Stegostoma tigrinum: one gene and its partners. The protein of the gene in region 3 purifies or fractionates together with the protein of the main gene of each other region. This does not show direct contact. Links are inferred from orthologs where the notes say so. Each region holds a gene or a part of one and is shown on either strand. Other genes may lie near its edges.

Evidence for each region.
Region 1: the proteins of csnk2b (region 3) and ark2n purify together in Homo sapiens (co-immunoprecipitation; 3 studies listed by BioGRID and IntAct, with this or other methods). This does not show direct contact. The link is inferred for Stegostoma tigrinum from reciprocal best matches to the Homo sapiens genes CSNK2B and ARK2N.
Region 2: the proteins of csnk2b (region 3) and phrf1 purify together in Homo sapiens (affinity purification with mass spectrometry; 3 studies listed by BioGRID and IntAct, with this or other methods). This does not show direct contact. The link is inferred for Stegostoma tigrinum from reciprocal best matches to the Homo sapiens genes CSNK2B and PHRF1.
Region 4: the proteins of csnk2b (region 3) and rnf111 purify together in Homo sapiens (co-immunoprecipitation; 3 studies listed by BioGRID and IntAct, with this or other methods). This does not show direct contact. The link is inferred for Stegostoma tigrinum from reciprocal best matches to the Homo sapiens genes CSNK2B and RNF111.

What each region holds. Positions count from the first base shown.
Region 1 is NC_081354.1:162,137,673-162,144,677, forward strand, and holds the start of ark2n (uncharacterized protein C18orf25 homolog), read right to left. Parts: upstream 3,010-7,005; 5' UTR 2,508-3,009; intron 1-2,507. UniProt on the Homo sapiens protein: AMPK substrate important for exercise capacity and skeletal muscle function.
Region 2 is NC_081370.1:35,569,725-35,577,519, forward strand, and holds the start of phrf1 (PHD and RING finger domain-containing protein 1), read right to left. Parts: upstream 3,025-7,795; 5' UTR 2,889-3,024; intron 1-2,888.
Region 3 is NC_081387.1:27,161,775-27,168,864, reverse strand, and holds the start of csnk2b (casein kinase II subunit beta), read right to left. Parts: upstream 3,023-7,090; 5' UTR 2,852-3,022; exon of another isoform or gene 2,737-2,851; intron 2,706-2,736; exon of another isoform or gene 2,573-2,705; intron 1-2,572. UniProt on the Homo sapiens protein: Regulatory subunit of casein kinase II/CK2.
Region 4 is NC_081386.1:17,461,181-17,468,050, forward strand, and holds the start of rnf111 (E3 ubiquitin-protein ligase Arkadia), read left to right. Parts: upstream 1-3,860; 5' UTR 3,861-4,064; intron 4,065-6,870. Other genes in the region: sltm (SAFB-like transcription modulator), read right to left, coding at 1,534-1,615, 2,483-2,758. UniProt on the Homo sapiens protein: E3 ubiquitin-protein ligase. Required for mesoderm patterning during embryonic development. Acts as an enhancer of the transcriptional responses of the SMAD2/SMAD3 effectors, which are activated downstream of BMP.

The DNA of each region.
Region 1 (7,005 bases), on a different chromosome or scaffold from region 3:
GGCGAGCAAGTCTACAACCTCATCCTGCTGCATCCTTTAAGAACATCCCTCAATATCCACAAGTCAACTATTTTTGGGGCAGCACAGTTATTAATAAGACCATATGTATTTTCATCCAAATCATTTGGATATATCACACAGTGATCCTTGCAGAACACCACTAGCCACAGTCTAGTCAGGAAAAAACCCTCCAAGCTACCCTCTGTCTTCTATGACCAAGCTAATTTTGTATCCAGCTTCTCAACTTACCATGGATCTGGCATTACTTAATCTATGGATCTGTTTATTGTGAGGGGTCCTGTCCAATACTTTAGTAAAGTCTATATTGACAAAATCCACTGCTCTACCCTCAGTCACTTTTCAGTTTTTTGAGGAAGTCGTCAATCAACTTTGAGAGTCAAGACCTTCCCTACACAAACACACGCTGACTATCCCTATTAAGTCAATTCTTTGCTAAATGTGGGGTAAATCCTGTTCCTGAGTATGTTCTCTAATAATTCCCCTATCATGATAAGGCTTGTTACCCTATCATTTCCTGAATTATCCCTCTTGCTGTTCTTAGACAAAGGAACATTAACTATTCACCTGTGGCTAAAGGGGATAGAAAAGTCTCCATCAAGGCCCTAGCAATCTCCTTCCTTGTCTCCCTCATTATCCTGGCATAGATCTCATCAGGCCCTGGGGCCTTATGTATCTTAAATGTTTTTAAGGCGTCCAACATCACCTTAACATCAACCTGCCCCATAATACTAACAGATCCTCCCTAAACTTATCATCTATCCCTTCTCCTTGATGAACACCAATGCGAAGTACTCATTAAGGACATCACCCACTCCTAATTGAGGGCAGAGTGTTAATAAAATTTGAGAAACATCTCAGCATCTCCAAATACTGAACGTCCCTGTCATTGGCACTACCCTGTTGAAACCTCCTCACATCCTTCCTAAGTGCATCCATTGTTAGGAAAAACCTGCCAGGAGTGATGCAAAAGATGCACTGAGATCACAATTAATCCTTCAAACAAAGGTCGAACGGGAGAATAAAACCGGAGTGGAAATAAAAGATGCCTGCAACCTTAAAGTTTACCAGCGACGTAACTTAAATAGAGAATAGATGACAAACTACTGGTGTGTGAAGATTCTGCCTTATTTATATACCCATTCTTGATGTCTTTTCACCTGCATGTCAATCTTCCCTTTCTGTCTGTCTCTGTCTCTCTCATTACTGCCAATGTCCATCTCTTCTAAGTTCTTCCTATCCTGCTCCCAAACACAGATCTTTGACTTGCTTTGTCTCCTGTCCCTTTAGTTTTTCTGAATCACTGCATCAATTTCTCTTTTCACTATTTATCTGGTCTTCTGCTAATCTACCAGCAGACCTTCTTTCGTTAGTTTATAGTGTAAATCCCAAAGACTTTTAGTTGGACATTAAAAGCCCCAAGTCATCACAAAAAAGGATATCACCTAACACAAACGACTTTTAAAAACGGGTTAATTCATATCATGTTACTACTGTCAATTGGGTCTTGGAGCTAATACATGTTGTTTGTTTGTGTCAGATCGTATTTATATACCCATTTCTGCTTGCTTATGTGTATCTCAATAATCTTCCTCTTATGTGGCTTTTACTTCATCAACTCATTCATCAGTTTCTGTACATAGCCCCTTCCAGTTTTTACTTTCTCAGTGATATTCACATCTTCCTTCCCCATTTCTCCTCCTTCCATGATGACATATCACTACAAACAGTGGCTCAGTGGTTAGCACTGCTGCCTCACAGTGCCAGGGCCCTCAGTTGACAGTGTGGAGCTTACACATTCTCCCAGCGTCTGATTTGGTTTCCTCTGGCTTCCTCCTACAGACCAAAGGTATGCAGGCTAGGTGGATTGGCAATGCTAAATTGCCTCTAGTGTTCAGGGATATGTAGATTAGGTGGGTTACGAAGGATGGATCTGGTTGGGATGTTCTGAGGGGCAATGTGAACTTGTTGGGCTAAACTACCTGTTTCCACACTGTAGGGATTCTATACAAAATAAAATAGTAGGGCACATATCCCATCGCATCTACTACATCATTCAATATCATGAATATTCATCTGATTGCAGCGTTAAATAAACTTTCCTGCCTCCCTGCATAACCTTTAGTCAACCAAAAAGTTATCCTATTTGAGCCCTGAATATATTCAATGCCTCAGACTCCAATGCTGCCCTGGGAAAGTGAAGCTGATCCTCAGAAGTTCTTCCTCATCTAAGTCTTAAATAAAAGATCCTATATACTAAAACTGTGACCCCGAGTTTTCCCTCGCGAAAGGAAACGTCCTCTCAAACCTCACCAATATTACACACGACCAGCATCAGATCACCTCTCATTCTTTTAAACTCCATTAGGCCTAACCTTCCCTCACAAGACAGCCCCTTCATTTCAGAGGTCCATCCTCCGCCTCCACCCTTTTCTTCTTCTCCATTCTGTTCTCTTTTACCCCTCTCCTTTTCTCTCTCGGTTTCTTACCGTTTGAAGTCTGGATTTCTCTCGCTTTTCCAAAACAAGCTCACTTCCGCTTTTGCGCGCTGCGGGTTTACCGGCGCAGCGCGCGTCACTCATGGGCGAGGGGGCGGTCCTTCCGCGGACAACGACGACGACACAGAAAATAAAACAGGGAAACGAATGTCGCGACTCGCAGCGGCCTCTTTATCTCTCCACTCACATCAACCGCCTACTGCCTCTGCAAAATGGCGGAGACGCCGGTTCGGAACACACAGGGTTTTAAACTGCCCTCGGGCTTCCGGCCTCTCGAAACCCTAATTCTAAATCTCAATTGAGCGTCCAGGAACGCGGTACTGGAGCGGAGATAAGGTGCAGAAAGCATTTGGGGGCCGGACCGACGACATGGTCCCGGCCTGGGTCTACCTCCTCCGCCCGCCGCTTCTCACAAAATGGCGGACGCTCCACCGGTTCCAGAAGTGAAAGGTCCCCGGCGTGCAATCCGGAACCAATTCTCCGAGATCTCCAAGTTCCTATAGCAACGTCGTCGTTCCGGCCTTTTCAATACCCCAGCCATTACCACCATTTTAGATGAAGCGTTTTCACTTTCTTACAAAAACGGCTTCGAAATCAATCCAGAACTCTCGAACCTACAACACTTAAAAAAACTTCATCCTTTAAAATTTCCAAATTGCATTAAAACGCTTCTACTAAAATCATTTTGCTCGCGTTAGCCCTAACAGCATGCAAGGACGTGAGGTAGCCCTGGAAATTAATCGTGACGTTTACTTTCCTATTTTTAAACGATAATTTTGTTGAACATCGAATACCGCACAGGAGCAAGGATAGTGAGAACTGCAGATGCTGGAGAATACGAGATAACAAAGTGTGAGGCTGGATGAACACAGCAGGCCAAGCAGCATCTCAGGAGCACAAGAGCTGACGTTTCGGGCCTCGACCCTTGTTCAGAGAGAGGGCAGTGGGTCGAGGCCCGAAACGCCAGCTTTTGTGCTCCTGAGATGCTGCTTGGCCTGCTGTGTTCATCCAGCTCCACACTTTGTTATCACAGCACAGGAGCAGGTCCTCTGGCCCCATATGTCTGCGACCACGATGCCATCCTCAACTGAACCCACATGGTGCATAGATAATAAAATGTGAGGCTGGATGAACACAGCAGGCCAAGCAGCATCTCAGGAGCACAAAAGCTGACGTTTCGGGCCTAGACCCTTCATCAGAGAGTCTCTAGGCCCGAAACGTCAGCTTTTGTGCTCCTGAGATGCTGCTTGGCCTGCTGTGTTCATCCAGCCTCACATTTTATTATCTTGGATTGTCCAGCATCTGCAGTTTCCATTATCTCTCCCCACATGGTGCATATCTTTCTATTCCCTGATATAACAAGGTGTAGAGCTGGATGCCTCTATTTCCTGCCTATTCATGCGTCTAAATGCTTCTTAAACATAGCTATTGCACCTGCTTCTACCACCTCCCCTGGCAGCATGTTCCAGGCATCTACCACCCTCTGTGCAAAAAAACAACTTGCCTCCAATCTCCTTTAAAACTCCCCCACTCACCTTAAACCTATGCCCCCCCGTATCTGGCATTTCCACCCTGGAATAATGTTTTAACAAAGGACTGTAGCTCAGGTTGCAGTTGGAGTTGTTGGTTTGTTGTTTCTCGGAGCTGACTGGTTTTCGTGCAAACGTTTCATCTCCATTCTAGGTGACATCAGCAGTGCTGTGTAGCCTCCATTGAAGCGCTGTTGTTCTGCCCCGCTCTGAATTTACATGTTCTGGTTTGTCATAGTGGGCAGTCTTGTTTCCGGTTTTTGTCCAGAACGGGTCGGAAGGCAAAGCCAGAGTCTGTTTGAGTATATGACGGAGTAAACTTACTGGTGCAGAAAACACTGCAAAACTTAAAAAAAAACTAATTAATTTTAAATAATTAACTAACTAGAGAAGCAGGTCAGGTGATGCATTCTAGCTATATGATGTGGGAGCTAGCTGATCCCATTGAGAACAGCAGTGACCACATCAGCAGGTGTTGGCTGCTTGAGGAACCTCAGCTCAAAATTGATGAGGTGGAATCCGAACTCCAAACACTGCAGCACATCTGGGAGGGAGAGAAATACCTGGATTCTGAGTTCCAGAAGGCAGTCACACCTGGTAGATTAACTAATGTTAATTCAATTGGCAGGCAGGGACAGCAGTGTGTGACTGTGAGTGAGGCAGGTAGAGGGTCCCTGCAGACAGGAACACAGGAGCCAGGGCCTTGACATTGTCCCACCGGTATGAGGCACTTGCTTCCTGCATGGATGAGGAGCAGGGCTGCAGGAAGGATGAGTCAATTGACCATGGTACCATGGCCCAGGAGGCCATTCAAGAGGGAGGGAGCTAAAGGATAGACTGTAGTTGTAGGGGATTCCATCAAGAGGATAGACAGTATCCTTTGTGAGCAGGATAGAGAATCCCGCATGGTGTGTTGCCTGCCCAGTGCCAGAGTGCGAGACACCTCTGACAGGCTTGAGAGGATACCAGAGAGGGAGGGGGAGGATCCAGTTGTTATGGTCCACGGAGGTACCAACAACATAGGTAGAACTAGGAAAAAAGACCTGTTTGTGGATTATGAAAAGCTAGGAAAAAGATTTCTAAAAAAAGGTCTTCGAGGGTCATAATCTCTGGATTGCTGCCTGAGCAACATGCAAATTGGCATAGGGAGGCAAGGAGAGGATCAGGGAAGTAAACTTGGGGCTGAAAGAGTGGTGCGGGAAAGAGGGTTTCCTTAACATGGGGCACTGGCGTCAGTTCTGGGACAGGAGGGATCGATACCGATGGGATGGACTCCACTTGAACAGGGCCAGGTGCAGTGTTCTGGTGAAAGGGGTACATAGGGTGGTCAATAGGACTTTAAACTAGTAAGTCGGGGGGAAGGGAGAAGTGAGCGTAGAAGGAGAATAACAATGTAAGGCAAAGCAGCAGGCTGGCAGGTGACAAGAGCGCTTCAGCTCCATTGAAAATTAGAGAAAAAAAGTTAAAAGGAAGGAGAACTCAAGAGCTGTTAGTAATGGAGGTAACAGGACCCAAAAAGAAGGTGCAAAAACTGTCACAAGGGCACTTTATCTGAATGCTCGGAGCATTCGAAATAAGGTGGATGAGTTGATGGCGCACATCATGGCAAATGTGTATGATTTAGTGGCCATTACAGAGACATGGTTACAGGATGATCATGACTGGAGTTAAATATCCAGGGGTATCAAACTGTTTGGAAAGACAAACTGGAACACAAGGGAGGTGGTGTTGCTCTGATTTTTAAGGATGATATCAGGGCAGTAGTGCGAGATGATATAGGTTCTACTGAATAAAACATACAAATCCATTTGGGTAGAAATTAGGAATAGCAGGGAGACGTCACTGTTCGGTGTGGTCTATAGGCCACCAAATAATGGCATCGTGGTGGGGCAGGCAGAAAAATAGCTAATGCATGTAAAACTGGTATAGCAATTATCATGAGGGATTTTAATCTACATATCGATTGCTCAAACCAGGTAAGTCATGGCAGTAAATTGAGGAGGGGTTCGTAAAATGCGTTCACGATAATTTCCTTGAACAATATTTAATGGAACCTACGAGGGCCCAAGCCATCCTAGATCTAGTCCTGTGAAATGAGATAGGGATAATTAATGATCTCAACAGTTAGGGATCCTCTCAGAAGGAGCGATCACAGTACGGTCGAATTTAAAATACAGATGGAGCGTGAGAAGGTTAAATCCAGTATTTATGTCCTGTGCTTAAACAAAGAAGACTACGAAAGAATGAGGGAGGAGGGATATGAGGGATATGAATGGGAGCAAAAACTTTATGGTGGTTCAATTGAGGAACAGTGAGGGAATTTCAAAACGATTTTTCACAGTGCTCAGCAGAAGTATATTCCAGTGATAAGGAAGAACTGTAAGAAAAGAGAGAGCCAGCCATGGATGTCTAAGGAAATAAAGGAGAGTACCAGATTGAAAAAAAAACAAAAAAGCAAAGACTAGTGGGAAATTAGTAGACTGGGAAGTCTTTAAAGGCCAACAGAAAGCCACAAAAAAAGTTAGAAAGAAAAGAAAGACATATTATGAGAGTAAACTAGCTCAGAATATAAAAACAGGCAGCAAAAGTTCTGCGATTTACATATTTATATAAAGAGTGGCAAAGGTAAACATTGGTCCTTTAGAGGATAAGAAGGCTAATTTAATAACTGGGAATGAGGAAATAGCTGAGACATTAAACAGTTATTTCATGTCGGTCTTCACATTAGAAGACACAAATAACATGCTGAAAACTAATGGCAAGAAGGTTATAGCTGGTGAGGACCTAGGAAATATCATTATCACTAAGGAGGCAGGGCTGGGCAAGCTATTGGGAATAAAGGCAGCCAAGTCTCCTAGCCTTGATGAAATGCATCCCAGAGTACTAAAGGAGGTGATAGGGGAAATAACAAATGGACGAGTAATTATTTACTAAAATTCACTGGACTTTGGGGTCGTTCC
Region 2 (7,795 bases), on a different chromosome or scaffold from region 3:
ATAACAGGGAACACAGATAGCAAATTTAAACGATAATTTTATGTTATTCTTCACAATGGAGTACATTATAAACATTCCAGAGATACCAGTTATGTAAGGTGCTAATAGGAGAAAAGGTTTTGTGACAGCCTCTATCAGAAGGGACAAAGTATTTGACAAACTAATAGGACTGAAAACAGAAAGGTCGCCAGGTCCCGATGGCCTTCATTTAAGGGTTTTAACAGACGTGGTTGCAGAGACAAAAACAGAAGTTGCTGGAAAAGTTCAGCATGTCTGGAAGCATCTGTGAAGATAAGATCAGAGTTAATGTTTCAGGTCCAGTGGCCCTTCCTCAGACCCAAAACTTTAACTCTCACATTTTCTTTACAGATGCTGCCAGACATGCTGAGCTCTTCCAACAACTTCTGTTTTTGTTCCTGATTTACAGCATCTGCAGTTCTGGTGGTTGCAGAGATATGGCGGCAGCAGTCAAAATAGTCCATAACTCTGTGGATTCTATGAAGATTTTAGTGGATAAGAAAACTCTTAATGTGACTCCCTTGTTCAAGCAAAGGATAATCATAGAATCACCAGAATTCCCATGGTGTGGAAGCAGACCATTCAGCCCATTGAGTTCACAATGGCCCATGGAAGGCCATCCCACATAGAGCCACCCAGCTACCCTATTCCTACAACCCCACATTTCCCATGACTAATCCACAAGCCCCTGGACACTATGAACAATTTAGCATGGCCAATCCACCTAACGTGCACATCTCTGGACTACGGGAGAAAATCAGAATACCCAGAGGAAACCCAAGACATGGGGAATATGTGCAAACTACACACAGACAGTCGGTGATGGTAGAATCTAACCCAGGGACCTGATACTGAGGCAGCAGTGCAAACTACTGAGCCACTGTGTTGCCCAGGTGGAGGCAGAAAGCTGCAAACTATAGGCCAATTAGCCTAACGTCTGTCAAAGTGCTAGAGTCCGTTACAGAAGAAATAGCTGAACGTTTAGAAAAGCTTAATGCATTCAGAGTCCACATGGTTTTATGAAAGGGAAATCAAGTTTGACAAATCTGTTTAAGCTCTCTGAGGATTTGATAGAGGAAAATTTGATAAAGGATAGATCTAATGCAGCTGGATATTCAGAAGTCATTTGATAAAGTGCCACAAAAAAAGTTAGGGTAATGTATCAGCATGGATTGGGTAAAACACTGAAAACAAGTAAGTAAGTGGAGGACTACAAGGATCAGTCCTAGAGCTTTTATTATTTATAATCTATATTAATGACACAGAGAAATGGACAGGGTGTAATGAATCCAAATTTTCAATCAACATAAAAATATTACCACGAGGACATAAGAAATCAGCAAGGGGATAGAGATAAGGTAAGTGAGTGAGCAATAACTTGGCAGATTGTGTTTAGGAAGATGCAAGGTCACGACTCAAAAGACAGACTAATATTTAAATAAAAGGAGACTCCAAAATGTGGGGTCCATAAGAATCTGGATGATGTTGTGCATAAAATACAAAAGGCATGCAGGCACAAATTAGGGTGGTGGGTGGAATTTTGGCCTTTTACTGCTAGTGTTTGGTATTTAAGAATAAGAAAGTCTTGTTACCATCATAGAGAAATTTGGCAAGACCTCACCTGAAGTACTACTACAGTTTTCATAGAGAATCATACCATAGAATCCCTAGTGTGGAAACAGGCCCGTCGGCCCAACAAGTCCAAACCAATGCTAAGAGCATCCCACCCTGACCCATCCCCCTAATCTACACATCCCTGAACATAATGGGCAATTTAGCATGGCCAATCCACCTAGCCTGCATATCTTTGGATTGTGGGTTTCCTCCCACACAGACATGGGAGAATGCACAAACTCCACACAGACAGTTGCCTGAGGGTGGAATTGAACCTGGGTCCCTGGTGCTGTGAGGTGCTTCCCATAAGTGATCCACATAATTAAGAAAAAATTGGCATTGCAGGCGATTCAGAAGTGTTTCATTGGATTAATTGGACAAAAGGGTTAATTTTTCAAAATTAGCCAGATCGGGCCTTTATTCATTAAAGAGGAGTTAGGCAGACTTTTGAAATATCAGGGAGGTGAGGGCTATGGAGTTGAATGGTCTACTCCTATTTATTGTGCTTGAATCTCTCCACAGTCTCCTTTGTTACAAGAACAACTTCAGCTTCACTGACCCAAAACTGTACCTAGAGTCCCTGCAACAGTTCTAGAGGATCTCCTCTGCATCCTCTCAAGGACTTTAACATCATTCCTTGCCAGACTTTGCCAGAACTTTATAAAGTTTCAGCACATTCTTGCCCCGCTCCGCGCCACCCCTACACCCGAGACAGCAATTACAGGCCCCCTTAAGTATATCGCGAGGCTTTACACAGAAAGCCTACATAAAAAGATTTGAGACAGAGACGCTAAATATGTATCCCAGTCGGAGAAAAACAGGAACACCGTGCCTTGGGGTTGCAGCTGCAAGTTGGAGGCGTCCACGTTATCTGAGTGGGCCGACGGGTGAAAAGGGAGGCCTGTTTATTTTGGTATGAGGTGACAGGCCTGGGATTGGAGTTTCTGCAGTATCCCACTCGAAACGCCTGCTGCAACCCAGAGCCAGGCCTCCACCAAGGACTCTCTTCATCCCAGTCACCTCCTCACCGAATCTCCCACAGTTCTTCCCGACCCCGAGCTCATCCTGCGGGCTCTGGCACTCGGCTCCGGGGCTTGTTTCCCACCGGCAAGCAACCGCGGCCTTTGGATTACTCTGTCACGGAGGCGGTTGAGGCCTCAAACTGTACCGTGCTAAAGTATCGGACTAGCCGGACTCTGACATTGCTCCTTCCTCCCTCACCCCCGACCTAGTGATCGTCCAACCCTCCGACTCACCTCTCTCCGTTCTGAGTCCCTGGGGTGGAAGCTCCAGGGTCGGTCGCTCCTGTCAGTCAGTCGCCACACAGGCCACTCAGCGAATACAGCGCCTCGGCACTACACCGAGAGCAGCTGACGGAAACAACCGAGCGACTTCGGGACGGTACCGAGCCGCTGACGGGAACAACCGAGCGATCTCGGCGAAGATGGTAACGGAAATAGCCGAGCGACTTCGGCTCAACAAGGCTATCGGTGACGGAAATAGCCGGAACTCTACCCTCGCGGCGGGGTAAGCGGTGACGGAAAATCCCGAGGATGTTCCACGCTTCGCAAGGTGTTTCGTTTTTGGCATTACGTGCGTTCGCTGAGCCTCGGCAGCAGAACCGTTGAATTGTTACAACGTAAATGAAGGCCGTTTGGCCCATCGTGTCTGTTCTGGTCCGTGGAATAAGCAATTCACTTCATGCCCTGCCTCTTCCCCGTATTGAAGAGTTCTCCACACTGCATACGTTCTTAAGACCTTGAGCACTTGCTGTGTGAACTTTTTATCTCATGTCGCTTTGACTGTCAATCTCTTCGTAATTGGGGAAAAAAATCCTTCCAAACGACTCTGCTCAGGCCTCATGATTTTGAATGCTTGGATTAAACCCCCTCCCTGCTTTCTCCAAGGTGGTCTTTTTCAATACATTTTCATGATTAATTTCATCAAACCTTGAACCATTCTTGTGGACCTTTTCCATATTCCCTTCATTCCTTCCACAGCAGGGTGGCACGGTGGTTAGCACTGCTGCCTCACAGTGCCAGGGACCCAGGTTCAATTCCACCCTTGGGTGACTGTCTGTGTGGAGTTTACACATTCTCCCCTTGTCTGCATGGGTTTCCTCCCAGAGTCCAAGTTACGGGTTAGGTGGATTGGCTAAGCTAAATTGCCCATAGTGATCAGGGGTCTGTAGATTAGGTGGGTTATAAGGGGATGGGTCAGGGTGGGATGCTCTAAGGGTCAGTGTGGACTTGTTGGGCTAAAGGGCCAGTTTCCACGCTGCAGGGATTCTATCTTCCCTAAAGCACACAGAACTAGATGTCTTTTTTTTTAAAGTCATACAATTTACTATTATACTTTAGGTACAAAGTTTATTACAGAATGGAAATTGGCCCTGTAACCTTGTACAGCACAGATACAGACCAAGATAACGAAGTGTGGAGCTGGATGAACACAGCAGGCCCAACAGCATCTCAGGAGCACAAAAGCTGACGTTTCGGGCCTAGACCCATGGAAGGTCATATTGGGGCCTAGGATGGGGGTGAGGGAGGAGGTGTGGGGGCAAGTGTAGCACTTCCTGCGGTTGCAGGGGAAGGTGCCGGGTGTGGTGGGGTTGGAGGGCAGTGTGGAGCGAACAAGGGACCACTCTCTCCGTGACTCCCTTGTTCGCTCCACACTGCCCTCCAACCCCACCACACCCGGCACCTTCCCCTGCAACCGCAGGAAGTGCTACACTTGCCCCCACACCTCCTCCCTCACCCCCATTCCAGGCCCCAAGATGACTTTCCATATTAAGCAGAGGTTCACCTGCACATCCGCCAATGTGGTATACTGTATCCATTGTCCCCGGTATGGCTTCCTCTACATTGGGGAAACCAAGCGGAGGCTTGGGGACCGCTTTGCAGAACACCTCCGCTCGGTTCGCAATAAACAACTGCGCCTCCCAGTCGCGAACCATTTTTACTCCCCCTCCCATTCTTCAGATGACATGTCCATCATGGGCCTCCTGCAGTGCCACAAGGATGCCACCCGAAGGTTGCAGGAACAGCAACTCATATTCCGCTTGGGAACCTTGCAGCCCAATGGTATCAATGTGGACTTCACCAGCTTCAAAATCTCCCCTTCCCCCACCGCATCCCAAAACCAGCCCAGTTCGCCCCCTCTCCCCAGTGCATCCCAAAACCAGCCCAGCCTGTCTCTGCCTCCCTAACCTGTTCTTCCTCTCACCCATCCCTTCCACCCATCTCAAGCTCACCTCCATTTCCTACCTACTAACCTCATCCCACCTCCTTGACCTGTCCATCTTCCCTGGACTGACCTATTATCTCCCTACCTCCCCACCTATACTCTCCTCTCCACCTATCTTCTTTTCTCTCCATCTTCAGTCCGCCTCACCCTCTCTCCCTATTTATTCCAGAACCCTCTTTCCATCCCCCTCTCTGATGAAGGGTCTAGGCCCGAAACGTCAGCTTTTGTGCTCCTGAGATGCTGCTTGGCCTGCTGTGTTCATCCAGCCCCACACTTTGTTATCTTGGATTCTCCAGCACCTGCAGTTCCCATTATCTCTGATCCTAAATTATCTAGTCCCATTTGCCAACATTTGGGCCTTATCCCTCTAAATCCTTCCTGTTCATACACCCATCCATATGTCTTTTAAATGTTACAATTGTACCAGCCTTCACCACATCCTCTGGCAGCTCCTTCCATGCATGCACCACCGTCTGTTTGAAAATGTTGTCCCTTAGGTCCCTTTTAAATCTTTCCCCCCTCACCTTAAACCTATGCCAAATGGTTTTGGACTCCCCTACTCTGGGGAAAAGACCTTGGCTACTCACCCTGTCTATTCCCCTCATAACTTTATAAACTTCTATAAGGTCATTCCTCATCCTCTGACACTCCAGGGAAAATAGTCCCAGCCTATTCAGTCTCTTCTTGTAGGTAAAACCCTCCAACCTGACCATATGGCAGCTTGTCCTAGGAATTGTAGTTCAGGCTCTTTTACTGCTTTGATGAGGGGAATGGGATGGAAGTTTGGAAAGAGAAGCATTAATTTTAAGAAGAATTCTGGTTAAAGAGAGCAAGATTCAGCTTCCCTTGAATCTAGAGAGATTCACTAACACGGAGGAAGAAGTGAGACCCATTGAGTCTGGCTATTCTGTTTTTCTTACTTTAGATGCAGATTTGGAGACTTAAATCTACCAGACTGCACAGTTTCTGAAGGGTGAGAGGTAGAATGTGAGTTTGTACAATGGGTTATGCATTTTTTTAAAAACTTTTGATTTATGAGCACTCAGCTAGCCAAGATACACTGAATATGGGGCTTTTGGAGCCATAATTCCAAATAGGGCTGATATTACAGATGTGACATGAATTGGCAGTTTACCTTCCTTAGCTGTGTGGGAAATAGTGGAACATGTGATGTTAGCAAGTAGGAATTTCTGTATTTTGTGAGATACTTTTGGAAGTAAGTTTTAAGACCTCTGATCTGTTTGAGATTAAATAATCTTCTGATAAGGTTGTATTAGTGATGATGGGAACTGATGAAGGGTCTAGGCCCGAAACATCAGCTTTTGTGCTCCTGAGATGCTGCTGGGCCTGCTGTGTTCATCCAGCCTCACATTTTATTATTCCTGATAACGTTCTTGTTTTTTAAGAGTTTATTTACAAGACAGTTGGGTTAGTATATCTGGTGCTATTTGCATTAACCACTTCATGGGTGGCACTTTCTTGGTACTCCCTGAGTAAAAATATTTCTAATGAAAAGTTAAACAGTTAAAGGATGATTTGATCAAAATTGTTCAATTTATCAACACAGAGGATCATTTTGCCAGCCCTAGGAGTTGGAAGGTCATGGTACAGGACATTGCTTAGGCCAGTTTTGGAATACTGCATTCAATTCTGGTCTCCATGCTAATAGGAAGGATGTCCTGAAACTTGGAAGGGTTCAGAAAAGATTTACAAGCATGTTACCAGGGTTGGTGGGTTTGAGCTGAAGGGAGAGGCTGAATAGCCTGGGGTTATTTTCCCTGGAGCGTCAGAGGGTGAAGAGTGACCTTATTGGTGTTTATAAAATCATGAGGAGCATGGATAGGGTGAATAGTCAATGTCTTTTTCCCTAGGTAGCCGAGTCCAAAACTAGAGGGAATAGGGTTTAAGGTTAGATGGGAAAGATTTAAAAGGGACCTAAGAGGCAACTTTTTCAATCAGATGTTGGTGTATGTATGGAATGAGCTGCCAGAGGGGATGGTGGAGGCTGGTACAATTACAGCATTTTAAAGGCATCTGGATGGGTGTATGAATAGATAACATTTCAAGGAAAATTAGCCAAATGCTGGCAAATGGGACCAGATGAAGTGAGGATATCCAGTCGGCATGGACAACTTGGGCAGAAAGGTGCGTTTCCATGCTGTAAATCTCTATACCCTGACTCTAAATGAGAGACATTGTTAGACAAAGAGTCGCTGTTTCTACGGGTTGTGGACTCTAAGAATGCGAATGCATTGGAGGGCGTGCAAAGGAGATTCGCCAAGATGATTGATTGACGGATTTATTGTCACGTACCAAAATACAATGAAAAGCTTTGTTTATGAATGATCATAGTAAGCAAAGAATGTACAGATCAAAAAGACTTAGACAGAGGCACACATGTTAAATTGCACGGGGTGTGTGCTAGATGAGATCAATTTTAGCAGGATCAGTGTTATTTGAAACTAGAAAGTCCATTCATCAGTCTGATAATGACTGGGAAGAAGCTGTTCCTGAACCTGTTCGTGCATGTATTCAGGCTTCTGTATCTTCTGCCTGATGGAAGACGATGTTGAAGGAGATCATTATCGGGGTGTGATGGGTCTTTGACGATGTTGGCAGCCTCTCTGCAGCAGTGAGCTGTGTAAATGGAGCCCATGGATGGAATGGTGGCTTCCGTGATGGTCTGGGATATGCACACCACCTTCTGCAGTTTCTTACAGTCCTGGGCAGAGCAGTTGCCATACCGGGTCATTATACATCTGAACAGTACGCTTTCAAAGGTGCATCTGTAGATGTTGGTGAGGGATGATATGGACATGCCACATTTCCTGAGCTTCCTGAGGAAGAAGAGGTGTTGTTGTGCCTTCTTGACTGCTGCTTCTACATGGAAAGCCCAGGACAGGTAGTTGGTTATCAT
Region 3 (7,090 bases):
ACTACGCCCCACTACCCACTAAACCCCACTACGCCCCACTACCCACTAAACCCCACTACGCCCCACTACCCACTAAACCCCACTACGCCCCACTACCCACTAAACCCCACTACGCCCCACTACGCCCCACTACCCACTACGCCCCACTACCCACTACGCCCCACTACCCACTACGCCCCACTACCCACTACGCCCCACTAAACCCCACGCCCCACTAAACCCCACGCCCCACTAAACCCCACGCCCCACTAAACCCCACTACCCACTAAACCCCACTACCCACTAAACCCCACTACCCACTAAACCCCACTACACCCCACTACGCCCCACTGAGCCCCACTACCCACTAAACCCCACTGAGCCCCACTACGCACTAAACCGCACTACGCCCCACTACCCACTAAACCCCACTAAACCGCACTACGCCCCACTGAGCCCCACTACGCCCCACTACCCACTAAACCCCACTACGCCCCACTACCCACTAAACCCCACTACGCCCCACTACCCACTAAACCCCACTACGCCCCACTACCCACTAAACCCCACTACGCCCCACTACCCACTAAACCCCACTACGCCCCACTACCCACTAAACCCCACTACCCCCCACTACCCACTAAACCCCACTACCCCCCACTACGCCCCACTACACCCCACTACCCACTAAACCCCACTACACCCCACTACGCCCCACTACCCACTAAACCCCACTACCCACTAAACCCCACTACGCCCCACTGAACCCCACTACACCCCACTGCCCCACTGAACCCCACTGCCCCACTGAACCCCACTACGCCCCACTACTCACTAGACCCCACTACGCCCCACTACCCACTAAACCCCACTACCCACTAAACCCCACTACGCCCCACTACTCACTAGACCCCACTACGCCCCACTACCCACTAAACCCCACTACGCCCCACTACCCACTAAACCCCACTACCCACTAAACCCCACTACCCACTAAACCCCACTACCCACTAAACCCCACTACCCACTAAACCCCACTACGCCCCACTAAACCCCACTACACCCCACTACCCACTAAACCCCACTACGCCCCACTAAACCCCACTACGCCCCACTAAACCCCACTACACCCCACTACCCACTAAACCCCACTACCCACTAAACCCCACTACCCACTAAACCCCACTACACCCCACTACGCCCCACTACCCACTAAACCCCACTACGCCCCACTACCCACTAAACCCCACTACGCCCCACTACCCACTAAACCCCACTACGCCCCACTACCCACTAAACCCCACTACGCCCCACTACACCCCACTACGCCCCACTACCCACTACGCCCCACTACGCCCCACTACCCACTACGCCCCACTACGCCCCACTACCCACTACGCCCCACTACCCACTACGCCCCACTAAACCCCACGCCCCACTAAACCCCACTACCCACTAAACCCCACTACACCCCACTACGCCCCACTGAGCCCCACTACCCACTAAACCCCACTGAGCCCCACTACGCACTAAACCGCACTACGCCCCACTACCCACTAAACCCCACTGAGCCCCACTACGCACTAAACCGCACTACGCCCCACTGAGCCCCACTACCCACTAAACCCCACTACGCCCCACTACCCACTAAACCCCACTACGCCCCACTACCCACTAAACCCCACTACGCCCCACTACCCACTAAACCCCACTACGCCCCACTACCCACTAAACCCCACTACGCCCCACTACCCACTAAACCCCACTACGCCCCACTACCCACTAAACCCCACTACCCCCCACTACCCACTAAACCCCACTACCCCCCACTACCCACTAAACCCCACTACACCCCACTACGCCCCACTACACCCCACTACCCACTAAACCCCACTACACCCCACTACGCCCCACTACCCACTAAACCCCACTACCCACTAAACCCCACTACCCACTAAACCCCACTACACCCCACTGCCCCACTGAACCCCACTACGCCCCACTACTCACTAGACCCCACTACGCCCCACTACCCACTAAACCCCACTACCCACTAAACCCCACTACGCCCCACTGAACCCCACTACGCCCCACTACTCACTAGACCCCACTACGCCCCACTACCCACTAAACCCCACTACGCCCCACTACCCACTAAACCCCACTACCCACTAAACCCCACTACCCACTAAACCCCACTACGCCCCACTACCCACTAAACCCCACTACGCCCCACTAAACCCCACTACCCACTAAACCCCACTACGCCCCACTACCCACTAAACCCCACTACCCACTAAACCCCACTACCCACTAAACCCCACTACGCCCCACTAAACCCCACTACCCACTAAACCCCACTACCCACTAAACCCCACTAAGCCCCAGCCCCCCAACCTGCAGGCTCATCATAAAACATGGAGCGACGTGCAGAAGATCTCTCGTCCTCCTCCTTGTGACATGCAACAGCAGAACCAGCCATACCTGGCCTCTACCCCAGAGAGGGAGGGGGGATGGGGGAGGGGGGGAGAAGCTCACAGCAACAAAACACCGCATTGAAACAAACCAGGCGATAAGGGCGGTGATGTCTAACCTCGGGCTCGGCAGCCTGTAGGCCGTGCGTGGGATTTCAGTCGATGTGAGGAGCGAGGGGGAAAGACCCACCATCAAACGTGGCCCGACTTCCCGAGAATGGGGGCGGAAGGGGGTGGGGAGAGAATGCGTCACTTCCGGGTGCACCGCCATCAAACCCCGCGACTACATTTACCGTCAGGCAGCGCGCCGCAGGACCAAGCCGCCCGCGCAACGCTCGTCGATTCCGCGCACGACAGAGGTAGTCGGAAGCGCTCAGGCCGCCGCGTTAAATAGTTACCGATCGAATAGGATCGAGCGGTTTTCTTTTTTTTAAACAAAAGGGCTGGCTGTCAAAAATAATAGCCGCCGGTCGAGAGCGAAAAGGAAACGCGCAGAAGGACGAGCGGAGCCCAATCAACGGATCCGTCCGGCCCGGCGCCCTCTCTGATTGGTCTCGGCGGGGCGGGGAACACCACGTGACATGCTCTGACCCCGCCCATTCCACGCCCCGCCCACGTAAGTCTGACGTCGCAGTGCTTCCCGCCCCCACACTAGCCACGCCCCCTTCCCTTGCTGACGCCTAGCCTTAGCCCCGCCCCCGCCGTGCGGCCCACTCACAGAGGCTAACCACGGTTACCTTGTAGGTGTTACATCTCTAACTGTGTAAAACCGCGTGTATTTTCCCATCTGGGGGACGGGGGTGCAGGGCGTATGTTTGCTTTCTCTATGAGGGGAGGTGGGAGTGAAAGAAGTCCGTTAAGATGTACCGGTCAGGGGAGTAGTTGTTTCGTGTGTTACCGATCTGCCGGCTTTCATTATTATTGTGTGTCCCTCCGCCCTATCCCCAGGGTTTCTCCTCATTTCCTGCCCCTCCACGCACCCAGGCACGACCCACTTCCGGTCACCCCGCTCCCCGCAGGCACGACCCACTTCCGGTCACCCCCTCCCCGCAGGCACCACCCACTTCCGGTCACCCTTCCTCAACCCCGCCCCACCACGGCATGACCCACTTCCAGTCACACTTGCTCATCCGCCCCCCCCCCCACCACAGCATGACCCACTTCTGGTCACACTTCCTCAACACCCCCCCCCCACCACAGCATGACCCACTTCTGGTCACACTTCCTCAACACCCCCCCCCCCCACCATGGCATAACCCAGTTCCAGTCACACTTCCTCAACCCCCTCCCTCCCCACCATGGCATGACCCACTTCCGGTCACACTTCCTCAACCCCCCCACCACAGCATGACCCACTTCCGGTCACACTTCCTCAACACCCCCCCCCACCATGGCATGACCCACTTCCGGTCACACTTCCTCAACACCCCCCCCCCACCATGGCATGACCCACTTCCGGTCACACTTCCTCAACTCCCCCGCCACCATGGCATGACCCACTTCCAGTCACACTTCCTCAACCCCCTCCCTCCCCACCACAGCATGACCCACTTCCGGTCACACTTCCTCAACACCCCCCCCCACCATGGCATGAACCACTTCCGGTCACACTTCCTCAACCCCCCCCCACCACGGCATGACCCACTTCCGATCTTCCCTAACCCCCGCCCCGCCCCAGACATGACCGACTTCCAGTCACCCTTACCCACCAACCCCTCCGACCCAATACCTTCCCTTGTAACTGTAATAGATGCAACACCTGCCCACAAACCACTCCCACTGTGGCCCCAGACGGTCCTTCCAGGTGAGACAGAGCTTCACCTGTATCTCCCACAACCTAGTCTATGCATTCAGTGCTCTCGATGTGGCCTTCTCTCTGTTGGTGAGACCAAATGTACACTTGGTGACTGTTTCGCCAAGCACCTTAACCTGGCTCGTAACAGCCAACCTAACCTCCTGGTCATCACCCATTTCACCTCATCGTCACGCCCCCCACCCCCACCTCACATGCCCATCCTTGGTCTCTTCATGTGGGTGTCACTGCCTAGGGAGCATTTATTTCCCATCGCTGATAACAAAGTGTGGGGCTGGATGAACACAGCAGGCCAAGCAGCACCTCAGGAGCGCAAAAGCTGACGTTTCAGGCATAGACCGTTCTTCAGACCCTTTTTCTGCAGTTCCCATTATCTCTGTTTCCCATCCCTAATGGCCTGGAGGGCAGCTAAGAGTCAGCCACATTGCTGTGGGTCTGCAGTCTGGGCCATTTTCAGTGTTAAGTATGCCGCCTCGCTCCCTCCAAAACAATTGGCTGTGGGTCTGGTTTCCCCCTGTTCAGATCAGACTGTGTAAGGACAGCTGAGTGTGGGACTGACGAGCCTAACACCTTGGAACCAGTTCAGACAAGTTACCCTGGTTCTGATGGACTGCCTGAGTATTTGGGGGAAGCAGATGAAACAAAGCCGGGTCATCTGGCCATGTGAGGAGAATTTAGATTACAACGATGGAAGTTTGGTGAGAGAGGCCGGTTTGGGATGAGGAAAGTAAGGTGGGAAGGCAAGGAGAGTGCAATTCCAAAGCTAGAGTTTGCTGCCTGGGAATCTGAAGGCATGGCCCTGGTGTGGTACTGTGTGAGAATGACCAACAGATCAGGCTGAGAGGAGCATGTATTTGGAGGGTTGTGAGTCTGGGGGCAATTACAGAATGAGGGGAGGTGCCGCGGAGGCATTGGAAAACCAGGATTAATGATCTGATCATGCTCAACACGGCATCTCCCCCTTAGAGACAATCAGGTGGTGGTATGAAGGCACTTGCGCTGTTGAGGTTCATTTTGAGTGCCTGTGTCTGAAGGATTGGTCCATCTGTAATGCAGAAGTGACACCTGGGCTTTCCCCTTCTGTAAATAGATCACTCAAAAGGCTTTGGGATTTTTTCTGGTTTTATTTTGAAGATATTTCCTGGAAGTTATATAGTTGAAGCTGAAATAAAAACAGAAAGTGACTTTCCCAGGCACTTCCAGGTTTTGTTTCTTTGCTATTTGAGTGTTTTGCTGTTGCGTGGCTTTTAAATTTTTTTTATTCATTGAATGTGGGTGTCGCTGGCTCAGCCATATTTATAGTCCATCCCTAATTGCCTAGAGGTCAGTTTAGAGTCAACCACATTGCTGTGGGTCTGGAGTCACGTGTAGGCCAGACTAGGTAAGGCTGGCAGTTTCCTTCCCTAAACGGCATTAGTGAGCCAGATGGGTTTTTCCCAACAATTGACAATGGATTCACAGTCATCCCCCAATAAACACTCCTGGGACAGCTACAGCATGGGGTTAGATACAGAGTAAAGTTCTCTCTCTACGTTGTCCCTATCAGACACATTTATAGTGGAAGGGGGTGTCTCAAATTGGAGACCTGTAACCAGTGGTGTTCCACAGGGATCTGTGCTGGGACCACTGTTGTTTGTGATATATGTAAATGATTTGGAGGAAGGTGTAGGTGGTCTGATCAGCAAGTTTGCTGATGACACTAAGATTGGTGGAGTAGCTGATAGTGAACGGGACTGTCAGAAATTACAGCAGAATATAGATAGACTGGAGAGTTGGGCAGATAAATGGCAGATGGAGTTCAATCCGGGCAAATGCGAGGTGATGCATTTTGGAAGATCTAATTCAAGAGTGAACTATACAGTAAATGGAAAAGTCCTCGGGAAAATGGATGAACAGAGAGATCTGGGTGTTCAGGTCCATTGTTCCCTGAAGGTGACAATGCAAGTAAATAGGGTGGTCAGGAAGGCATATGGCATGCTTTCCTTCATTGGGCAGGGTATTGAGTACAAGAGTTGGCAGGTCATGTTGCAGTTGTATAGGACTTTGATTCGGCCACATTTGGAGTACTGTGTACAGTTCTGGTCGTCACATTACCAAAAGGATGTGGATGCTTTGGAGAGGGTGCAGAGGAGGTTCACCAGGATGTTGCCTGGTATGGAGGGTGCTAGCTATGAAGTGAGGTTGAGTAGATTAGGATTATTTTCATTAGAAAGACGGAGATTGAGTAGGGACCTGATTGAGGTCTACAAAATCATGAGGGGTATAGACAGGGTGGATAGCAAGAAGCTTTTTCCCAGAGTGGGGAACTCAATTACAAGGGGTCATGAGTTCAAAGTGAGAGGAGGAAAGTTTTTAAGGGAGATATGCGTGGAAAGTTCTTTACACAGAGGGTGGTGGGTGCCTGGTACACGTTGCCAGTGGAGGTGGTAGACGCAGACACGTTAGCGTCTTTTAAGATGTGTCTAGACAGATACATGAATGAGCAGGAAGTAGAGGGATACAGATCCTTGTAAAATAGCTGACAGGCTTAGAGGATCTGGATCAGTGCGTTTTGGAGGGGCCGAGGGGCCTGTTCCTGTGCTGTAATTTTCTTTGTTCTATTTGGCTAGCTGCTGGTATACCCTTCAGACTGCCAACTGTTAATTCCAGGTGTTTTATTGAATTCAAATTCCACCATCTGCTGTGGCGGGATTCGAACCTGGGTCCCCAGAACATTATCTGGGTCTCTAGGTTTAGAGTTCAGTGATAATGCCACTAGGGCGTCACCTTCCCTATAAGCGAAAGCACCTGGCTTTTTATGCATTTTAGTTTGGACAAAGCGAGC
Region 4 (6,870 bases), on a different chromosome or scaffold from region 3:
GACAAACTGCAGAACATGCAGACTTAAGCTAAGTACACAAGCCAACAAGAGTATGCATTGAGTGGCCATATCATGAAGACTCGAGAACACAGAACACTAAAGCACAGTACAGGCCCTTCAGCCCTCAATGTTGCACTGACCTATATATGGAATGCTCTGCCCCAGAAGGTAGTGGAGGCCAAGTCTCTGGGTAGTTTCAAGAAAGAGATAGATAGAGATCTTAAAGATATTGGAATCAAGGGTTATGGGGATAAGGCAGGAACAGGATACTGATTGTGGATGATCAGCCATGATCATAATGAATGGTGGTGCTGGTTTGAAGGGCCGAATGGCCTACTATTGTTTAAACCAAACTGAAGCCCATCTAACCGACACTATTCCATTATCCTCCATATGTTTATCCAATGACCATTTAAACGTCCTTGGCGAGTCTACTACTGTTGCAGGCAGGGCATTCCACACCCTTACTTCTGTCTGAGTAAAGAACCTACCTCTGACATCTGTCCGAAATCTATCACCCCTCAATTTAAAGCTATGCCCCCTCATACTAGCCATCCAGGGAAAAAGGCTCTCACCATCCATCCTATCTAATCCTCTGATCATCTTGTATGTCTCTATTTGGTCACCTCTTAAACTTCTTCTCTGTATCGAAAACATCAAGTCCCAAACATCAAGTCCCTCAGCCGTTCCTCATAAGACCTTCCCTCCGTACCAGGCAACATCCTGGTAAATCTTCCCTGCATCCTTTCCAATGCTTCCACATCCTTCCTATAATACAGCGACCAGAATTGTACGCAATACTCCAAGTGCGGCCACACCAGAGTTTTGTACAGCTGCAACATGACCTCATGGCTCCAAAATTCAATCCCTCTACCAATAAAGCCTAATCTTCTAATGCAATCCCCTCCCTAGCTTCCCAGAGAATCCTAGGATACATCCCATCCGGCCCAGGGGACTTATCAATTTTTAAACCTTCCAGAATTACTAACACCATCTCCTTGTGAACCTCAATCCCATCTAGTCTAATAGCCTGTATCTCCCTAATCTCCTCGATAACATTGTCTTCGACTCTGACCATTAACATCTCTAGAAAAGACAATCACCGTTAATAAGCCGCAAGGCAGATCAGAATTTCAATAGTCCAGGCAGAATAGCTCACCTAATGAATTGTTAAAGTCTTTGCGCTCCCTAAAATCAAATGATTAGAGCACAATGCAACACTCCCAACTTGACAGAAATGTCACAGATGCCACTCAACACCATCTAAGGTTAAGTAGCCTACAAAATTTGCATTTCACCCAACAACCTAAATATCTAACTCCTTTGTCAGGTCATTCAAGTTTTCAGCAGCACCTCTCAAATCCATAATTGACATCAACTAAAAAGGGCAGATGTTTGGGACCTTCAGGTTGTTTCATTATTTCTCCATCACCAAGTTCAGTATTTACATTTTGGTTAAAAACAGAAAGTATATTAATAAAGTTAACCCTTTGTTACAAAATCATACACAACAAATTAAGAAAGGTGGGATACCTTTGCTTTTAGGTGTTTTCTTTGAAGGCGTATCCGAAAAGAGCTGCACGTTATCAGGATCGCCTCCCTCCTCTTCTATTACCTGTTTTGGTAGCAACAAATGCAAGTTTTCTTTTCCCAAAAACTCAATCAACTCGTTGAAAAATAATATTAAGAATTGAAACTAAATGAGGAAAAGTTGCATATTTCTGAAAATGGACATGACATGTTATAAATGCTTATACTTTACAATCAAATAGCGTCAACTAAAAGGTTTTCACTGCAACTGGTTAGTCTTAAAGGTAAATATTGGGCTTCAACCCTGTGATTTTCTTAAAACACCCAAAATAAAATTCTGCGCGTTAACTATGTAACAAATCCAGTGCAAATGTCCGACTTGGAAACCAACCAACGTGAATTTTATTTATCTTTGCTTACCCAATAAAAAGCACCCCAATGAATGAACAAAATACTATTTGGTAGTCAAAGAAGAAGATTAATTTATTTAACGGCTCCAGGTTATAAATTTTCAACAAAAGTTATGAAATAAAGCATACCACTTCAAGTGTTTATTCATTCAACTTCACAGATCATGAGAATCAGAAAGTGGGTAGCTTTTGGTTGTGTTTCTTTAAAAAAGTAAAAGCTATCAACAACTAAAAGGCGTCAATTAAACGTTCATTGGATTAAAAAGCAGTCTTTTCGCACGTTTAATCATACTGAAAACCAACAAAAGGCAAAGGATCTTTTAATCAAGATCTCAAGCACTTTTACCATGCAGTGAATATTTAATTCGCAAAGATTTATTTGTCACCGGTCAGCAAGACATTTAACCCAGTGAGCGCCGAAGCAGCCATTAAAATTTGCGCAGAGCAAAGTGGGTTAGGCTTCATCCGAGGCCTAAAGGTGACGGCGGTAAACCCCAGCGCCGACTTCCTTCCCTCTCCTTGACTTTGGTGATTTCTCACACCTGTTTTAACCTGGCGATCAGAACGGTTTTAACGCCACTAATGTCGAGATTCCGCCGCTTGAGTTCGGATTTAAGATCTACGACACGCAAGTCTGTGATGCGCCGAGCTTCATTCGGACTAGGAGCGGCAGCCATTTCAGGCGTCTTCACGGAGCAAGCAGCAGCTCGAGCGGCGTAGCTCCACCCCCAACAGGAGCCCGGATGACCAAGCTCCACCACCCCCCCGGGAAGGAGACTCAGCCGAAGTCCGCCCCGGATACCTAGCCCAGCCCTCATCCGTCAGGGATTCCAACCGTGACGGGAGCACGGATGGCATTGTCCCACCCCCACCCCACATGCCCGGATGGCCAAGGACCCGGATGGCTGCTGGAGCGCGGTGGTAGCCTGCTTTGCGGCGGGAATAGCGTGTTGTGGAGTTAGAGCGGGAACGCAGATTATCACTAAATGAAAGCACGAAAGGCACTTTGAGCACCAGGCTTCTTAACTATAAATGTTTCACAAACCATTTTCAATTAAACGATTCTGAAGATAATTTGAGAAACACGATGCGTCAAATTTCTCTGTGTTGCCTCCTTGCTTGCCCTCTTAAAAATGTTGAGTATTTCCAACATTTAGTGGTGTCGTGGATGGTCACGAATGAGGGAAAAAAACACTTCAATGACTTAATCGAAACGTTGAAACGATTTAAAAATGACTTCCTCAACCTTTCTTTAATTGTAATCAATGCTCAACAACCAAAAAACATAAGTTGAAAAAACTCAACAGGTCTGGTAGCATCTGCGGAGCGAAAGGAAACGTTACGTTTCGTGTCCAGTGATCTTTCTTCGGAATCAACAACCAAAATCTCCTTGGGCCGCTTAATCTTTATAATCGAGGTCCCGAACGTCAAACTTTCCTGCTGCTTTGACCTCCTGTGTTCATCCAGCTTTACACCGTGTTATCTCAGACTCTCCAGCATCGGCGGTCCCTATTATCTTTGTAATCTTTATATCGTTTATGTTCGCACCAAACACCCAGGATTTTTAAGAGCATTATTAGTAGGCGCTATACAAAGGCAGGGCATTTGTTATGGTAGAAACTGGAAAAATTACGCATGCGCCGGAATTTCCCTATTTTCCTAAAATCGTGTTGTGGGAAGTCGGAAGACCCCTGGCGATAAACCAGCGGTGCAGGCGGGTCCGATTTCACCATCCCACAGGCGACAAACTTAGAGGCAAACGTGCTCCTTTTCGTACCATTGACGTTTTGGGAACGGCAAACAAAGCCGGTGCCGTAAAGCGTGCGCGATGCAGCCGTCAAGCGCCGGAAAGTAAAGGGCGGTCTGTGTCGTGGAAAGGAAAGGAAGCCGCAAAGCAGATGCGGGCTGTGTCGTGGAAAGGAAGGGAGGCCGCAAAGCAGATGCGGGCCGTGTCGTGAAGGTGGAGCTGCCCCGTCCGATGCATTGAGCAACCCCGGGCTGAGCAGCGAAGCTTCGTCGTTTGGGGGTTTCTGTAAACAAGAGGCTTAAAATCCTCCCAGAAATATCTGAATAAGGCCTTGTGGAAATAATGCGAGGCGGCCAGCACCTTACAGAAAAGCTTCGGTAAGCTCTTTTCCGAAATTATTCGCCAATATTTGGAAGTGTAAAAAATGTCTATCCTCTTTAATTTTAATTCACTCCCCCCGACTCCTCCCCGCAATCTTCTCTCCATTCGCGACCGTTTTCTTTTAAAAAAAGTCGTGATGAAGACCTGGCCTGGTGAGCGCCTTTCGAGCTGCTGACGTTTAGATGTTTGAGAGTGATCCCCCCGCCTTCCCAACAACATCAACAACTCCTCAACAGAATTTACAGAATAGGAAAGGGGGGGGGGGGGTGTTGCAGAAGTTTGAATCGTAACTGATCATTAGATAAATCTTACAATATTTTTTGCATTTTTCAAGGCGTAGTAAAATTTAGGTATCCAGCTGGTGGTTGCCGGGGAGCGATGTCGGATTCTCAACAGCAATTGAATGTCTGTTGATTGATTGAGAACCCTGCAGTGTACCGTATAGAGGAGGAGAAAGGTGTTTGGAGGGTGATTTCTGTCTGCATTTGCCTTATATACTAATTTTAACACCACAGCCAAGGTTTGACGATGGAAGGTATCAGTTTTAGTTTGGTGTTGCCCGTGATTATTCTAGTGCATACTTCAAATTAGTCTGTCAAAGCTTGACATTCAACATGTTCTTGTGTTTTTTTAAAAATTTTTTTTGCTTTGAACATTTTTCTCATTTTATACTTTGAAGTGTCTACCCTATGAAAAAAAACTTTTTAAAATACTTTACAAAGAACAGTTTGGGTTTTAGAGTCAGAGTTGAACCTCAAAGAAAGTACAGAAGTGCTTCTCAGGTCCAGTTTAAATTTTTGATTGTACTGTCAATAACAGGATTGTTTCTAAGTTTAATTTGTCATCACTAATATTTATTGTGACTGTAAGGTAGGTTTATGTCCTTTATGAGATGAAGAACAAAATATTTATAATTAGCAATCAGTTAATTTTGTGTGTGATGTAGTTCTGTGTATGAACAGTAATATTTATACTATTTTCAGAGGAGGAAGCAGGTCACAACCCAGGGGAATTGTGACATGGTTTGATGTTGAAGTACTATATGTACAGCTTTTTAGTAGGATATAATGGGTAACAGAAAATTAAGTTTGTTTGCATTAAAATCTGAAATTTGTTTGGCCTGTGTGCCACACAGCACCATGTGATATCAAAGATAATGAGAACTGCAGATGCTGGAGAATCTGAGATAACAAAAGTGTAGAGCTGGATGAACACAGCAGACCAAGCAGCATCTTAGGAGCACAAAAGCTGACATTTTGGGCCTAGACCCTTCATCAGAAAAGCTATGTCATATGTTTATTTGTGGCCTTCGGTAAACCAATCTGTTGTTTAAAAAAAAAACTGCTGAAGCAAATGTTTCACACACGGTTTTGTGTTTGTTTCAATGATTTTTTTTGTCAGGTAGAATTTGGTTTTGGCATGGATGTTGCAACTGTGTGGTATTTTGAATACTTAAGTGGTTACTTGAAGAGATCCAATTTTTATTTTCAGTTGTTTAACTGTCTTGTTTCAATATGGACTTTGAATCATAGAGTTTGAATCTATAAATTTTGAAGCTCTTTACAGAAGTGGAATAAAATAAAGCTTTCAAAGTTGCACTTAAGTTTTGATCTAAATCTGCCTTCAAGCTTTTTTTATTATTGTTGACTTTTTGTGAAGTCCCTGATCAGACAATACTAGAATGACTTTTTATTACCTTCAGTATCTTCAAAAGAAAAGTTAGCTTAGTACTTTTGGTGAGATATTTCATCAGAGCTGCTTTCTGCCTTGTGTCCAAGTTTTGGGAAATGTGTATTTTTCCACTTGTTGACTGACATGTTGTTTGTAACACTCCTGCTTTAATTTGATATCCAGTAGTTTTGTTTAATGTTTGTTTAATCAAATGCTCCCGAGCTCTGTTTTGTTAAGCTAGCCCAACAACAATTATTTTGAGCCAAGTTGTCTAATCCCTGTCTTGACACTTATAATTGGCAAGGATTTTTGGTTAATATTGTAGATGCCTTTAGCTGAGTGTATGAAGGACAAAGGAATAGAAGAACAGGCAGTTGAGGTTAAATGAGGCTAATGTGAAGCACAAACACCCGTATGGAAATGTTGACAATGACCTGTTTCGGTGCTGTAACTTCTCAGTGAATCATAGGATCTTGCTTGACTGGCTTGATTGTAGATTCCAGTTAGGGCAAGCGGTTGGTCTATCATTGTTTTCACCAGCCCGGTCTGCCAAGACAAAGGTTGGAGTTGTTCTTTATTTTCACGCTGGATTATTTGCATACTTGTGAATGTGTATTTTTGTTAGAGTCGTTACATATGAGGGATTCTGAATGTACATCTAATGATGCAGTAAAAATTGCTCCCAAAGTACAGGGTGCAGTGAAGCAGAGCAATAGCCACTGCCAGATTGCAAGCACCAGTTGTCCATTCGTGCAATCGCATCAACTTCCTTTATCAGTCTGCATTTTATCACTGGTTTGAGCAATCTGAGGAGAGATTGAATAATCAACTTTCTAAATTAACATTTGTGTCAGAATAATGACTGCAATAATTCAGATGTTGAATAATGTCTTGTTCTTCCACTAAGAGCAGGCCTGTTAGGATTTTCTACCAAAATATAATGTAATTGGGAGCCATCAGTCTTTAAAAGCCACAGCCTTTAATATGGAGAACAGTGGCTGGGTGCCTACAAGTTATTGCACACAGTTTGGGACTGCCCTGTGTATGCTGCACATCTGATTGCATCCTGTTCTCACTTGGATGGGGAGAGGAGACGGAGGGACAAACACTCATTTTAACAGGCACCAAATG